Linked DNA regions of Cricetulus griseus. The protein of the gene in region 2 interacts with the protein of the main gene of each other region in a pairwise test. Links are inferred from orthologs where the notes say so. Each region holds a gene or a part of one and is shown on either strand. Other genes may lie near its edges.

What was found. The genes of interacting proteins can lie anywhere in the genome.
Region 1: the proteins of Gramd2b (region 2) and C-type lectin domain family 4 member K interact in binary tests that used the Homo sapiens proteins (3 or more experiments, as listed by UniProt). The two-hybrid records come from large-scale screens. The link is inferred for Cricetulus griseus from reciprocal best matches to the Homo sapiens genes GRAMD2B and CD207.
Region 3: the proteins of Gramd2b (region 2) and Tmem43 interact in binary tests that used the Homo sapiens proteins (3 or more experiments, as listed by UniProt). The two-hybrid records come from large-scale screens. The link is inferred for Cricetulus griseus from reciprocal best matches to the Homo sapiens genes GRAMD2B and TMEM43.

Annotation. Positions count from the first base shown.
Region 1 is NC_048601.1:57,585,903-57,590,787, reverse strand, and holds the start of C-type lectin domain family 4 member K, read right to left. Parts: upstream 3,195-4,885; coding exon 3,110-3,194; intron 3,022-3,109; coding exon 2,905-3,021; intron 1,270-2,904; coding exon 895-1,269; intron 1-894. UniProt on the Homo sapiens protein: Calcium-dependent lectin displaying mannose-binding specificity. Induces the formation of Birbeck granules (BGs); is a potent regulator of membrane superimposition and zippering.
Region 2 is NC_048595.1:182,402,687-182,406,862, forward strand, and holds part of Gramd2b (GRAM domain-containing protein 2B), read right to left. Parts: intron 2,984-4,176; coding exon 2,912-2,983; intron 2,818-2,911; coding exon 2,716-2,817; intron 280-2,715; coding exon 168-279; intron 1-167.
Region 3 is NC_048601.1:52,332,549-52,337,252, reverse strand, and holds the start of Tmem43 (transmembrane protein 43), read left to right. Parts: upstream 1-1,510; 5' UTR 1,511-1,725; coding exon 1,726-1,737; intron 1,738-4,704. Other genes in the region: Chchd4 (mitochondrial intermembrane space import and assembly protein 40), read right to left, coding at 1,140-1,161. UniProt on the Homo sapiens protein: May have an important role in maintaining nuclear envelope structure by organizing protein complexes at the inner nuclear membrane. Required for retaining emerin at the inner nuclear membrane.

The DNA.
Region 1 (4,885 bases), on a different chromosome or scaffold from region 2:
GCCTCTGAGGCTGGAAAAGGTACAGTGTCAGGGAGGGGAGACTGTGAGAGGAACGCAAGGGACCATTACCCTGGGCCCTGGCTCACAGTAATGAACTTCATGGGGAAAGACAAGACACAGGCTTTGTGTAGCATATTGTATTAGTAAAATACCACTGTGTGAGCTCAGTGAGAAGCTAGCTCTGGAGTGGGGATGCCTACCCCTCCCAATTTCAGACCCAAGCATGTTTGTCTCAAAGTGCCCTCTAAGGAGAGAAAGGTCTGTTTCAGCTTCCTCAGTGAGTTTCTGCTGGATGTTTGTAGTTCCAGATTTGATGATGTGACCTTCCAGCCATTATTTGTTCTTACCCCAAGGGACCCTCTGCTCCTCAGGGACTCCCTAACAGAAACTCCGGCTGAAGGTCTCAGTGTGGCTTCCCCAGTTGATTTCCGCTGGGTGTTTTGAGTGTCCAATTTGATGTTTTGCTACATCAATCTCTCACCTGTGTATCTGTCTGTCTGCCTGCCAATTCTCTATCCATCTGTCGATTGTTATTCATTCTTTTATTATTAGTTCACTATATATTTAGTAAACTCACTCTCTCAGAACCCAAAATATGGCTCTTCTCCAGACCATGCGGAACTCCAGGTTCCCCATATGGAACATACAGACCCCCGCCCCGCCCCAATGCTTCTGCACTCTGCACTTAAGTGTAGAGACCCAAGCTAGGCCCAGTATTTTCTCTCCTCACTACCCCCAAGTTCTCTCAGACCCAGACCATTGGTAATGCCTGTCCACCCACAAGCCTGTCTCCTGCCCACCCAAAGCCTGTTCCCTGCCCACCCACAAGGCAGCCTGTCACCTGTCTGAGACAGGTAGGGTTTTGCAGCCTGCAGGATGATCTTGTTTACTTACTCTGTCTTTGGAGCAGCTTGTTGACATTCTCCAAGCTGTTCTGCAGTCCTCGGACCTTCGCATTCAAGGCGCTGGACTTATCCAGATCTCTTTGCAGCTCCGGGATTTTGGAACTAAGACTATCAACCTCTTCCCAGTTTCGTGTTAACACACTGATTTGAGCACTGGCTTGCTCCATGATGATCCGCAAAGACAGAATCTGGGAACGCGCCCGGGTTAGGCTTGTGTTCAGGATCTGAATCTGAACTTCAGCCTCCTCCACACGGCCTCTGTCCTTCTCCAGAACAGAACCCAGACTGCTGATATTGTCCGCACGATCTCTCAACATCTGAGCATCGCTCTTCACATCCAATATTTTGTCCACCAACCTGGGATCTGGATTTGAGAAAGTCAAGCAGTCAATTGAGAGGTTACTAAGCCACAGAGATGGGGTGTTGTCTGAAGAAAGTGAACGATGCAGAATCAAGCTTCCCAAAGGACCAATACAGTCCAAGGAACTGCCACCTACTCTCCACTCATTCACTAATGTGCACATGGGTGTGCTATGTGCCACCATGTGTCAGGAACGCTGGGTAACACAGGCCTGGCAGAGACCAAGAGAGCTCATCAACAAACAGAGGGAGAGCCTAGTCCTGAAATGCCTTAGAATGGTCAGGGTAAACTTGGTAAAGGGGCACTCTTCATCACCCCCTCATCATTCTATCACTGAGTCCCCTCTGAGCCTATGAGATAGTCCCCAGCCCTCTGCTGTCAAAGACACAGCCACCAGCTAAGGCAGCACACCCTCCCTTATCTGCCACAAGCTGGTCTATGGCCATGGGCAGGGCCATATCCATGCAGACTCCAGAACACATAGGAGGGGCATTGAGCTATTTCTGCCCTTCCCAAGCCCTGTCTTTCATACTCTACTAAGATCATAGGGGAACCAATAACTATCAAAAGAGATCTGTGGGACTGAAAATGACTCAGCAGGAAGAACAATTACTCTTTCAGAAAACCTGAGTTTAATTCCCAGCACAATTTGGCAGCTCACAGCCATGCATAACCTCAGTTATAGGGAGATGAGATGTCCTCTTGTCTCTTTGAGAGCTAGGGCTTGTGGTATACACACACACACAAGCAAACCATTCTAGGGCATGTGCTGCACATCCATGCAAGCAAAACACTTGCATACATAATAAAATAAAATATGAGATTTCCAAAAAGAATCATATGAAAAAGGCAGTGCTAAAAGCTCGAAACAGCCAAGCATGGTATCACACACCTTAATCCCAGCAGAGGCAGGCAGATCTCAGTGAGTTCCAGGCAGGCCAGATCTACTGAGTTCCAAGCCAGCCAGGGATAAATAGTAAGACCCTGTCTCAAACAAACAGGAGACAGAGGGTGGGGGTAAGTGGAGGAGAAGAGACAAGGCCACCAGTTGAGGATGAGGGTTAGGGACTTGGAAAGGTGTGGCTGAGCATCTGTGACCACGCATGTCAGTCATGAAAGTAGAAACATTCCCTCCCTATACTTTCTAGAGACTTGGCAGAAAGGAGAAAGGTGTGACCACAGAAGAGACTAAGAAGCTTCTAGAAGGGGAATAAGAAGATTCCAGGTAAGGACATACAAGAGAATGAGACTGTCTGGGAGATTTGCTGGCTTGGCCAAGTTCCCTATCTGCTCAATGGAGACAAACTGCCTTGTGGGTGGTCAGGAGTAGGATCCCTCCCACTGTTGGGAGCTATCCACAATGTTTTGAACCAAAGGACCTCAACGCTGTGAGTGACAGGATGCTAAGGGAGGCAAAAGCAGGCATGACAAGCTTGGTGACTCTTTCCTCAAGACTGAAGAGTACCCCTGAGAACAGACAGTTCCTAATGCCAGGCGGGAAATCTTCCAAAAACCCAGAGTTGGAAGGAACAGCAAGTCGGCTTCCAGAAACATCAGGAAATTTCCTGAAACATTATACACTGAAGACACCAAGAACAGCAGCAAAAGGACTGGGTCTCCAGGGACCTGGTGACTTACAGAAAACAGCTTGAAGCACAATAGAGGCGACCAGCACCAATGACAGACAGATGAAGGCCACACGGAGGCTGAGAGGTTTCCTCAGGACTGGAGACAGATCTGGCTTGGGAGGAGGCTCTGGTAGGAGACACAGAGGTTTGTTAAGGATCAGTGAAGAGTGATGGGCAAAGCACCAAATGGGCTTGGAGCAGTAGCTGGCACTTGCCTCGAGGCCAGAGGGAGATGTTCTGCTTGTCCACTGTGAAGTGGGCATCAGGGGCCTCACTCTCCTTCATCTTCACCTCTGGCATGGGAGCTTCTGGCTGTTTGTCTCTCCTAAGGCCTTTTATCCAGAAGGAAACGGGAAATGAGTCGCAGAGCAAGTCACTGTGTCATGCCCAAGTTCCCTGTTCTTGGCTTAGACATTTTACCAGGCTGAGACCACAGCTTCATCCCCTCTCCAAAGATCCAGGCTTTGCAGGGATCACTTGCCTTCTTCCCTGGGACACTGACATTTTAATCATCTAATTCAAAGGTTCTCTATTTCTTTTGTAAAGAGCCCCTAGCCTATCATTCAGTCAACATCTACCCACCCACCATACAAACACATTATGAGCCCAACTCAGGACCCCAGAGATGAACTACTCAATTTTCTAACTCAGTTTGTAATCTGACAGAAAAAATAGCCTGAGAAAGTAAATTACAATATGAGGTGGAGAACATGGCAATGGATGGATATCCACTGTCAAAGGACGTACAGGGAGCACAGTGATGGGAGTACTGAATGAGGGATGGACACACTCGGTGTCTGGGAAATAAGACTACTAGGATGCTATGGAAACTGTCGATAGCTCTGGCCCTATGTACATGTGATGTGTGGCAGGAGGTGGGTGTGGGTTTAAGAGGCATCTAGTCAGGTGATGAGGGTCCTTTTGGATCATCTTAAGGGGCTTTACCTCCTTCCAGTGGGTTCAGGAAAGGGACTAGAAAGAGCACTCTGAAGGGCTGGGAAGAAAAGTGATGGCCACCTAAGCATGAGTTCATGTCTCCAGAACCCATGTAAAAGCCAGGTACACCAGAAGGCACCTATGTCCCCAGGCTAAGAAGGCAGAGGCAAGAGAATCCATGTAGATCCCTGGCTAACAAGTCTGGCAAAGAGAGAGCTCTAGGTTCAATGAAAGACCCTTTTTCAAAAATAACGTGGAAAGTGATTGATGAAGTTATTGGATATTGACCTCTGCTTTCTAAATGCATGCACATGCATGTGCGCATATATATGTAAACACACACACACAAACATACACAAAATAAAGATTCCTCTGACCATGGTTAGAAGCCATCGATGTGGATACAGGAGTCTGGAAACAGGGAGACCGATTAGGAGACTACTGTAATGAAATGTTCTCATATACAATTATGCTATTTTATAAAATGCAACATAGATTTCCACATTGTTGAGTGTGAGTCTTGGGTTCTTTTCCATGCGTCCTGCAGCTTGGGCATCTCAGATAAAGTAGGATGGCTCAGTAGCAGTTAACCCAGACTGGTTCTTTTTCTCTCTCCTCTCTCCCTGCTTCTCTCTCCTCCCCGGGAATCATGAACAGAGTTCCCTATGGAGGAGAAGCTTGGGGTACAGAGGAGCTGGTCTGGGGTTCAGTGAAAAAGTAACTTTTCTCCTGAGAAAAGGTTTAAAGGTTTAAAGAATCCTCAAGGTTTAAAGAATCCTTCTAAATCTAAAAGCCATGGTGCACAGTAGACTCTAAACAAATGTTTCTCAGAAGGTAGGAAGTAGAGAATGGTGAAGAAGAAAGAAAAAAAGAACAGGAAGAAAATTAAGAGTTGGCACAGATGGATGGATGGATGGATGGATGGATGGATGGATGGATGGATGGATGGATGAATGTAGATGGGTGGATAGATGGGTGAAAAATAAGCAGTTGGTTGCATGAGTATAAGAGAAGCAGATGAGATAATGAATGGAAATGTGTAAATAGAGTAATGA
Region 2 (4,176 bases):
GAGGCAATTCCCTTTCCTAGGAACCCTTTCCCAAGATTTCCTTTGCAACTGTTAATCTGGGAGGAGAATGGGAGGAGAAGGGTGGGCCTTGTTTTGTGTTTTGAAGACGGTGAGGGGGGGTGTTGTGTGGGGCATGAAACTTGAATCGGGACAAGATCTCCTCAGACCTCGGGAGTTCTCAGATTCTGGAGTCTGGGAGCCGGAGCTGCTGTATCCTTCCATGTCTTGCCTTCGTTGTCGAACCACTCCGTCCAGGTCTGAGAATTCATCATTGAAATCCTATGGGGAGACAGTGACGTGAGGAGATAGGCAGGCCTCTGTAAACCTTAGCCACTTTGCTTAGGCCTGACCCACAAAATATGGAAATGAAGCACGGGTTACCACACGCCTCGGGATTTTCCTAACCTGGGAGTATCTGGTTACGGAACCGAGATTCCTCTGCATGGTTAGAATTCTATTCATAAACAGCACATGGCTGGTTTGAAACAAGTATCTAGAGAAAGCACTGGACGGCTGGCGAGAGAGAAACTGCTAGTGGGAGGCTGAGAATCTCAGCAGCACTGTGCCCCGAAATATCTAACTGCTGCCAGACAGACAGCTCAAAGCCACTCGAATTATGTAGACAAAAGTATTGTAAATTATAATGAAAAAAAGATGCTAGTGGGCACAGAAAAGAAAAAAAAAAAAAACACTGCAGGCAAAGCAGCCTTTTAAGTTAGATTCTATCAGGGTCAGCTACGGAACCAGGAGAGAAGACCACGAGCAGAGGCATTTCAATTTGTATTCCACTGGCTTCCCTGAAGTGTTCAAGACCTAAGGGGATACACAGTATTTCCAGCTGGCCCTGGCAAAGGCCGAATTAGGCTGAGCTCTTAACAGTTTAGCTGCCGACTGAGGAAACACTAGTAAGCAAATGAGCAACATTTGTGTTTGACTTTGCTGTCTTTGTGTCATCTCAGCATCCATTAGACTCCTTACAATGATGGATAGGGGAAAGAAAGGTGAACATTCGATGGATTGATTTATACCTGATTTAACTGTTTGAGACAGAGTCTCCTCTATCTATCTCAGGCTATCTTAAACTCTCAATGTAACTGAGGATGACCTTTATCTTGGAACCTCCTGCCTCTACCTCTACAGGCGTGAGCCACCATGCCTGCTTTGTTTGGTGCTAGGGACAACCCATGGCTTTGTTTAGGTCATGCTAGTACTCTACCAACTGAGCTACAATTCAGTTTGAAAAGTGGAAAAACTTTAGTCTCTTCAACTTAATCGTGACTAACTGAAGGTTGATCCTGTATGGGGCAGTGTGCAAACCGCCTTACACACATGGATCCATTGGCTTTCCCCACCCATATGGTGAGGTTAGGATTTCACTGGATGAAAGAAGTGGGTCAGAGGGGAAGGAACTTCCCTGAGGAGCGACTCCAACTGGGAGAGCTCACACTGGAAACCATGTTTGCTGAATTCTAAGTCATCACATGTGTATTTTGTACTGCCCACACCCTTTCCCTCCCAGTGCTATGGATCATTATGACGGTCTATGAAGATGGAAACCCATTCTAACTTGGGAAGCATCAGTAAATGCAATCATGCAATACATAGCCATTTGTTTTTGTTTGTTATATTGATTTTAAGGTCCATCTATGTGGTAACATGTATCAGTCTTCAATTCCTTTTCAAGAGTGGGTAATACTACACTGTATACTATATTAAATACATCCCATTCATTAAAGAACATCAGAGTTTTATCCTACTTTGGGCTATTATGCAAAATACTGCTATAAACATTCCTTTTTGCTTTTGAGACAAAGTTTTGCTATATATTTCTATCGTGGTCTGTGTAGCATAGTCTGGCCTCAAACTCATAGTAATCCTCCTGTCTTAGCTCCCTACCCCCAAGTACTGGGGATTACAGGTGCATGCCATTACTCCCAGATAAACTTTCTTGTTCGAGTTTTTATGTGAACATGCTTTAATTACATTAGTTTTCAAAATGCAAAAGAAGATTCCTAGATGTTGAAACTACTTCCCCTATTCACCCCACCCCAATGATAGGGTTTCTCTGTGTAGCCCTGACTGTTCTGGAACTCACTCTGTGGACTAGGCTGGCCTCTCTACTATAGGTAGACATCATGTACACATAGAGATACCACTGGAGGTTTTCACTGTGGTCTACAAAGTCCAAGGGAACATAATAGTTCTACCTGCCACCTGAGCATAATAGCTTTGCCTAGTCATTTCTGAGTCTGCCCATCTTTCCTAAGCTGAAGTCTCTGAAGGTGAGAATTAGTTTTAATTTTCCATGGTTTCCCAGTATAGTACCCTGAACCTTTGTGAACTGAGCCTGCCTCAAAGAGATTTGTGAATCTCTTTAAAGGAGCACTGTGTCTGGAATGTAGCTTAGTGGAGAGTGCTTGGCTGGCATGCATGAGGCCCTGGGTTTGACTGCCAGCACCACACACAACAAAACTGACAAGCAAATGAAGTGAGGTCTTATATACCTCCAGCCTTACTATCATATTTCTTCTCCATGTAGAACAACCTGTAGATTACTAGAAAAAGTTAGTGGCTCCCTTTGGTCCCTCTGCTTCTGGAGAGACAAGCTGTGCTCTGCAGCTGTCCCCAACTACACTGGTCCTGAGTTCCTCCCAAGCCTTGGCTGTAGTGTGAGCACAGGGTAGCCATGGCTCCATCCTTTGCTTGTGCACTTACGTCATTATCTGGGCAGCTTACCAGAGGCAGAGATGAAGGGCGATCTGCCCGGAAACTATTTTCAGGAGAAGATGGGTTGGAATTGTTACCGACACTTGTGTTCTGAAATCATAGGAATAAAATGAAAACCCAGGTCAACTTCAGACCTTAAGGCATACCGAAGAAAGACAGCATAGAATTTGAATGTCATACGCACCTCCAAGTGTCCACACACAGATTTTAGCAGTTTGTATGTTGAATCTCTGGAAAGTAGGGAAACGAATATGTACTGGAAAATAAAGTGCAATCAAAAGTTTAGAGTTCCAAAAATACTTGTTACTTAGGTTTTGTATTTTTTTTTATAAATTTTAAAATTACATTGTGTGTGTGTGTGTGTGCGCGCGCGCGTGCGTGCCATGGTGTCCCTGTGGAAATCAGAGACAACTCTTCCTACTACGTGGGTCTTGAGGATTGAACGCAGGTCATTAGGCTTTATGGTACAGACATCCAGATGAGCCATCTTTTTGGCCCCTAGCTTTTGTATTTCCAAATGGCAAAGACCATCACTTTAACTATAACCTTATTTTTTTCACCAGAACATTCAATTTTTATTTTCTTTCTTGAATAAGACAAGTACATTCCTTCATGTGTTCCTTCCTTCCTTCCTTCCTTCCTTCCTTCCTTCCTTCCTTCCTTCCTTCCTTCCTTCCTTCCTTTCTTTTGAGGCAGGGTCTCATGTGGCCCAGACTGGCAACAAACTCATTATAAAGCCAAAGGTGATCTTGAACTCTTGATAGTACTGCCTCCACCCCACAAGTGCAGAGATTACAGGTGTGTACCACCACTCCAGTGAATTCAGCGTTTCATGCTGCCTCGCAAGCACTCTACAGATGCAACCACATCTCCATCTCCTTACATCCCTCTCCATCTCCAGCTCCTTATATCCCCTTATTATAGTAATAAAACCCCCAGATTCAATTTAAACATAATAAAAAATGGAGCAAAATGAAGGCTGCCAAAGGATGGCATGGGTGTCCCCTAAAAGCATAGATGGGAAGTTAGGGCACTAAGGCAAGGCTGGTGATACAGGCTGGGTCCTCCAAAGTCCCCTCCCCTCCCAGGTATTTTGTTTTTAAAGGTATTTTGTGATTCCTGGAGCAGGCCTGCTTTCTTTGCTCTGACATAAATTTCTGTAGGAAACTTCTCAGCAGTTCTAAAGTGTTGCTTTTTTTCATGTCACTTCCAGGCTCTTCCTTGTACTAATATGGAGATTCCCCACTCCCCCAACTGGATGCTTGTGAGTTACGGGGGGGGGGGATAAAAATTAAAGCTAGCCAGAGGACATGGAAATGGTACATCAACAAGATTTGAAAAGCTGTGGCTTTCTCTGTGTGTGTGATGTGGCTTTCTCTGGATGGTGAAGGAAGCATTGTTAGTACACAGTAGGTTCCATGCACTTGACATACTTTTTGGAGTTGTCCT
Region 3 (4,704 bases), on a different chromosome or scaffold from region 2:
TAAGCTCTGTCTGCCTAGCATGTTTGTCCCTCTGCCTCGGTCAACCTCACCTGCCATGGAATCCGCCAAAGTTCCCCACAAGCTTTATCATAACACTTACCCCAAAGACTCAACATCAACCTGCCAACTGGTAAACTGCACTAGACTTGGAAGAAACAAAAATCATGACAAGAATTGCTAGGGCGGGAGGAAACAGCTGTGCGGTGTAAACTGGGCCTTCTAATTGGATGCATAGCCTGGGGTGGATTAGTTCCTCCTTTACCCCTCAGATTCCCTAGACTACAGTGAAGAAGCTGGCCTACTCATTCTAAAATTCTGGGTGACCCAAGAATTTTATTTGTATTCCCAATAGTCCTCCAACTCAATTTTCCCCTGGGCACATGCTTTGTGGATACTAGAATGAACGATGGCCGAGACTGGAAACTAGGGCCTGGAGGGGTTGCTAGCAGCTTAGACACAAGGAGCCATTAGTGCCGAGAGGCTAAGGTGCAGACTAGTCTGGAGTCTTCTTGGCTGCAGCTCACAAGTAACAGACAAGTGAGTGGTCCTCAACGTGGCTGGAGACGGTAGAAAGGAAGGCCTTTAACAGAGGGCTCCCCACTGGCACTGCAGCTTCATCACCCGATGGGCTCTAGGGCCGAGTAACCCGTCTTAGTTTACTGTCTGATAAAACACGAACAATAACAGAACCCGACTTATAAAGGTCGCTACGTGAAGTTTCAAGAGTGCCTGGTATACAAGAGGAGCTCAATAAACACTCCTGCCAGAGGCGCTTCACCACGCAGCACAGCCTATTCCAGCCCAAGTGGTAATTTCCCGGGATAATTAAAAAGCCTAAGCGAGATACAAACACGTGGGGCGTGCTAGGGACGATGGTGACTAATTCCTAACAGTCCCCAATTCCCAGCTAGATACAACATGCTCCGCACTCGCAGGGCCCACGTGAGGCCTCCGAGGCCCGGGTTTGAGTGTCACGGTGACCTTGGACCAGCCTAGTTCCTCACGGAGCCTCTACTTTCTTATCTGGAAACCGCCGCGTGAAACCCACGAAGGGCCCACGCCGCCCTATGGAAACCACCCGACCGCGTGTGTCTCGCAGGCCGGCGCCCGAGCGGTCTCCATGGCAGCACCCGACCTACCTTCCTGCCGGCAGTAGGACATGGTTGTTCCGGACGCTCTCAGCTCTGGGAGGCACTCAGCACGACCGTAGCGGATACACACCTTCACGCAGTGACCTCCCTTCGCCTCTCCTCAGGCTTGGCGGGCGGCACTTAAGCCCGCGCGGACCCGCCCCCTCCAGGCCTGCCCGCCGCGCGCCTGCCTCCCAGCTTCCTAAGCACCAGCGCCGCTCCTTAGCCGAAAACTACATTGCCCAGCGGCCCGTGCGCCCCTCCAACGAAGCAGGTACTACATTTCCCAGAAATCTTGCAGTGCGCACGCGCACCAGTGAAGTGTTGGGTGCGCTTGAAATTTTGTGGCGGAAAGTGTCCGATAGCGGACTACATTTCCCAGCAGGCCTCGAGATGTGCTCGCGCAGACAACTTGCGGGGCACAGACAACTATCCGCGGGGCGGTAACTCTTGACCTGAGTCCTGCCAGGTCCTGGATTCCACGCGGAGTCTTGCAGCGCGGTAGGAGAGAGGAGGTCACCGCATTCTGCCTTCCGGTCGTCAGCCTAATTCCTAGCAGAGCAGTGCTAGACCGCGGAGGCGAGCCGGGCCCACCATGGCTGCGAACGTGAGTACCTTCTGTTCCCTTGACCACACTATCATCCGGGACACTCCTTCCCCTGGTCCACGGTGGGTCCTTCGGCGATGCGACCTCAGTGGGTGCGGCGACCCTGATCTCCCTGTGCTCGTCCACCTGTCCACTCACCCTCAGGCCGCACGTTTGTGGAGCGCTCCTCTAAGTCGAATCGGCTCGTGCGTGGTTGCTCCTTCCACTCCTAGTTTCTGTCTGGGCCCCTGGGGTATGAAACTTGGGGAGAAGGACCGCGAGGAAAGTGTCTCTCGGTGGGCATATTGGTGAGGCGATTCCGGCCAGGTGGAGCTGTCCAGCAAAGGCTTCTCTGACCTCCGTGCCCTAGGGGGTGTGTACACCTAGGCTGTGCTGCTTCTGTAGCAGGACCAGCCTGGCCGGATGACCAAGAGAGAGAGGCCTTTCTCTACGGTCCGGTCCCTGGTGCACTTATTTGGTAAGAGACCCTGGCTGAGGATAACCTCTCCCCCTGTCCCCAACATCCCCCAGGTCTCTGGCTTCTTCCTACTGCAACTAGTCCTTAAGAACTTTACTAGTGAATCCGAACATTCATTCAACAAGCGGAGCAGCGCCACTTACTAGGGAACTGGGTGTGGGAGAAGCTGGTGACTCACCACTGCCTCTGGTGAAAGTGCCTCTGAAGCCAGCTCAGGAGTGCTGCCAACCCCAGGCACACCCTCTCTCCCTCCTTGGTAGAATGTCATTGCCCCCCTCTTCCCAGGCCTCTCCTCTGTCCGGCAAACCTCTTCTTGGCCTCCTACACCCCTGGAGCGGCCAGAGTTTGTGGGACCCACTGCCCAGGCAAAGGCACATTGTCAGGCCCTGGAAGGCAGGAGAACCAGAGGTTAGGAAAGCTGCACTGGAGCCAGAGGAGAAGGCACCCTGTAGACCAGCCTAACAGGAGCAGGTGGACTCATGATGGCGCTTATCACCATCACCATCATCATCATCTTTTACAGTTCCCCAGCAGAAGACACCGGCTCGGGGGTGCTAGGCCAGTATATGCTACAGCACCAGCCTGGGAAGGTGATGAGGGCAGGCTAGAGGCAAATCCAGATTCTTCCACTCTAACTTCTCTGGGTTCACTGTCTCATGGGATCAGTTACTTTGAAGTTTGAGGAAGATTGCTAGGCACAGAGCCTGGTACATGGGAGGTACTTAACCCATGGAAACGTCACTCTTACAGGCTAGTACCCACAGTCCTGGTAGGCAGAGACCATCTCGGGGATGTTGGAGTCTGACTCTCATACCAGCAAACATAGACACAATGGGATCTCTTCAGTAGCCATGCCTTTGCCTATTTGTTACATTACTTTCTTGGAAAGACTTGAATGAACATCCATTCAGTCAGCAGGATAACCATAGACCAAAGGAACAATCCTACCAACTCTATCTTGGTGAACTGTGCATACTTGCAGGAGCATGGGTAACCCCTAAACAGCTACCTCACCAAAGTCCCACATCAGCATAGGTGGACCACCCCTGGAAAGCTGCATAGATGAAGTGTCATCCCCTTTGCTCCCAGCCCCCCCTTCAGTTAGCCTCTGCCTTCTGTATACCCTAGCAATGCTATATACTGCTAGGGGTGGGACATAGGAGGAGGTGATCGGCTGGAATCTCATCCACTCTTCCAGAAAACATGCCTGATCATGTGAGGGGCTCATGTGGACAATCAAAGCTGTTCTTATTTCAAGATGTCAATGACTGTGTCATGCCTGGGGGACAGAGGACCAGAGCATTCATACTAGAGCTGAGCCACCAGGCAGGGTTAAAGACAGTGGGTGGAGCACAGGCACCTAGATTCAGAATAACAGCTGACCTGTCAGGTAGGTATTATTACCAGCAAGTGAGGAACCAGGACCAGAGAGGTGGAGCATGTTACCAGGCTCACACAGCAACAGAGCTTGGATTCCAACCGTGGTGTGCCAATTTCCAGGCCTAGTGTGTTCCCACCTGTTGCTTCATTGCTTGTTCATTCTGAGCCCAGTGTGCTCAGAATACGTTACGGAGGATACATAAGTGTATGTATACACATGCAAATACATATTCCCATATAGGTACCATTTGCCATCTCACCCCTCCCCCAGCTGGAGGAATATCCTCTTGGCTTCTATCCCTTCCTGGGCTTAGGAAGAACAGGAAAAACACAGGTTTCCTTTTTTCTATTTCCAATTGTTCAGATCACATTACAGCTAAGGTCACTTTAAGCAATGAGGAAGGCAGTCTAGGGCAGAGGGATCTTGCTGGATTTGAGCACCTACTCACTACACATAAGCTTGATCTGGGCAGATATCCTAAGCAGTGAGTCTCGATTTCCTCACCTGTGAAATGGGGTAGTGCTAGCCTCTTCCACCTTGAGCTGGCTCATGACTGACCATGAGCTGGCTCATGGTCACCTTCTTGTCTGCAGCGATTATCTCCACTAAGTTTCTGATGGTGTCATTCTGGGTTCAGTGGGTGTCCTGAGCCAGCAGTGGAGAACAGCCAGAAGTGGCATCTGCTGTGCTCATAGACTCCGACCCAAATCTATCCTCTGATCCTGGGCAAGAAGGGGCCTGGCTCTCTGAGGTGCCTGCCTGGTGACCACTTTGTATCTCTGTGACTTTCGTCTACACCCACAGTCTGGGTGGCAGCCCCAGTTTCAGTTTTGGAGAGATCTGATAATGTTCCTATTAGCTGTAACTCCCACAGGTGCCTACAAGGCCTGGGCACTGAGCCAATACCCCAAGCATTTTGGATAGTCACCTCCACTTTACCCAATAAGAAATGGAGGGCCCACAGCTAGTAGGTGGCAGAGCCAGGATTCAGGCTCAGTCTCTGCTTTTGGTGATAAGCACTAGACATACTTCTGACAACAGCAAGCAGGGCAAAGCCTGCTCCACTGACCTATGTGGCTTGTGGCCTACTGGATGCTGCCCGGGCATGCCCATCCGCTCTGTCTCTCTA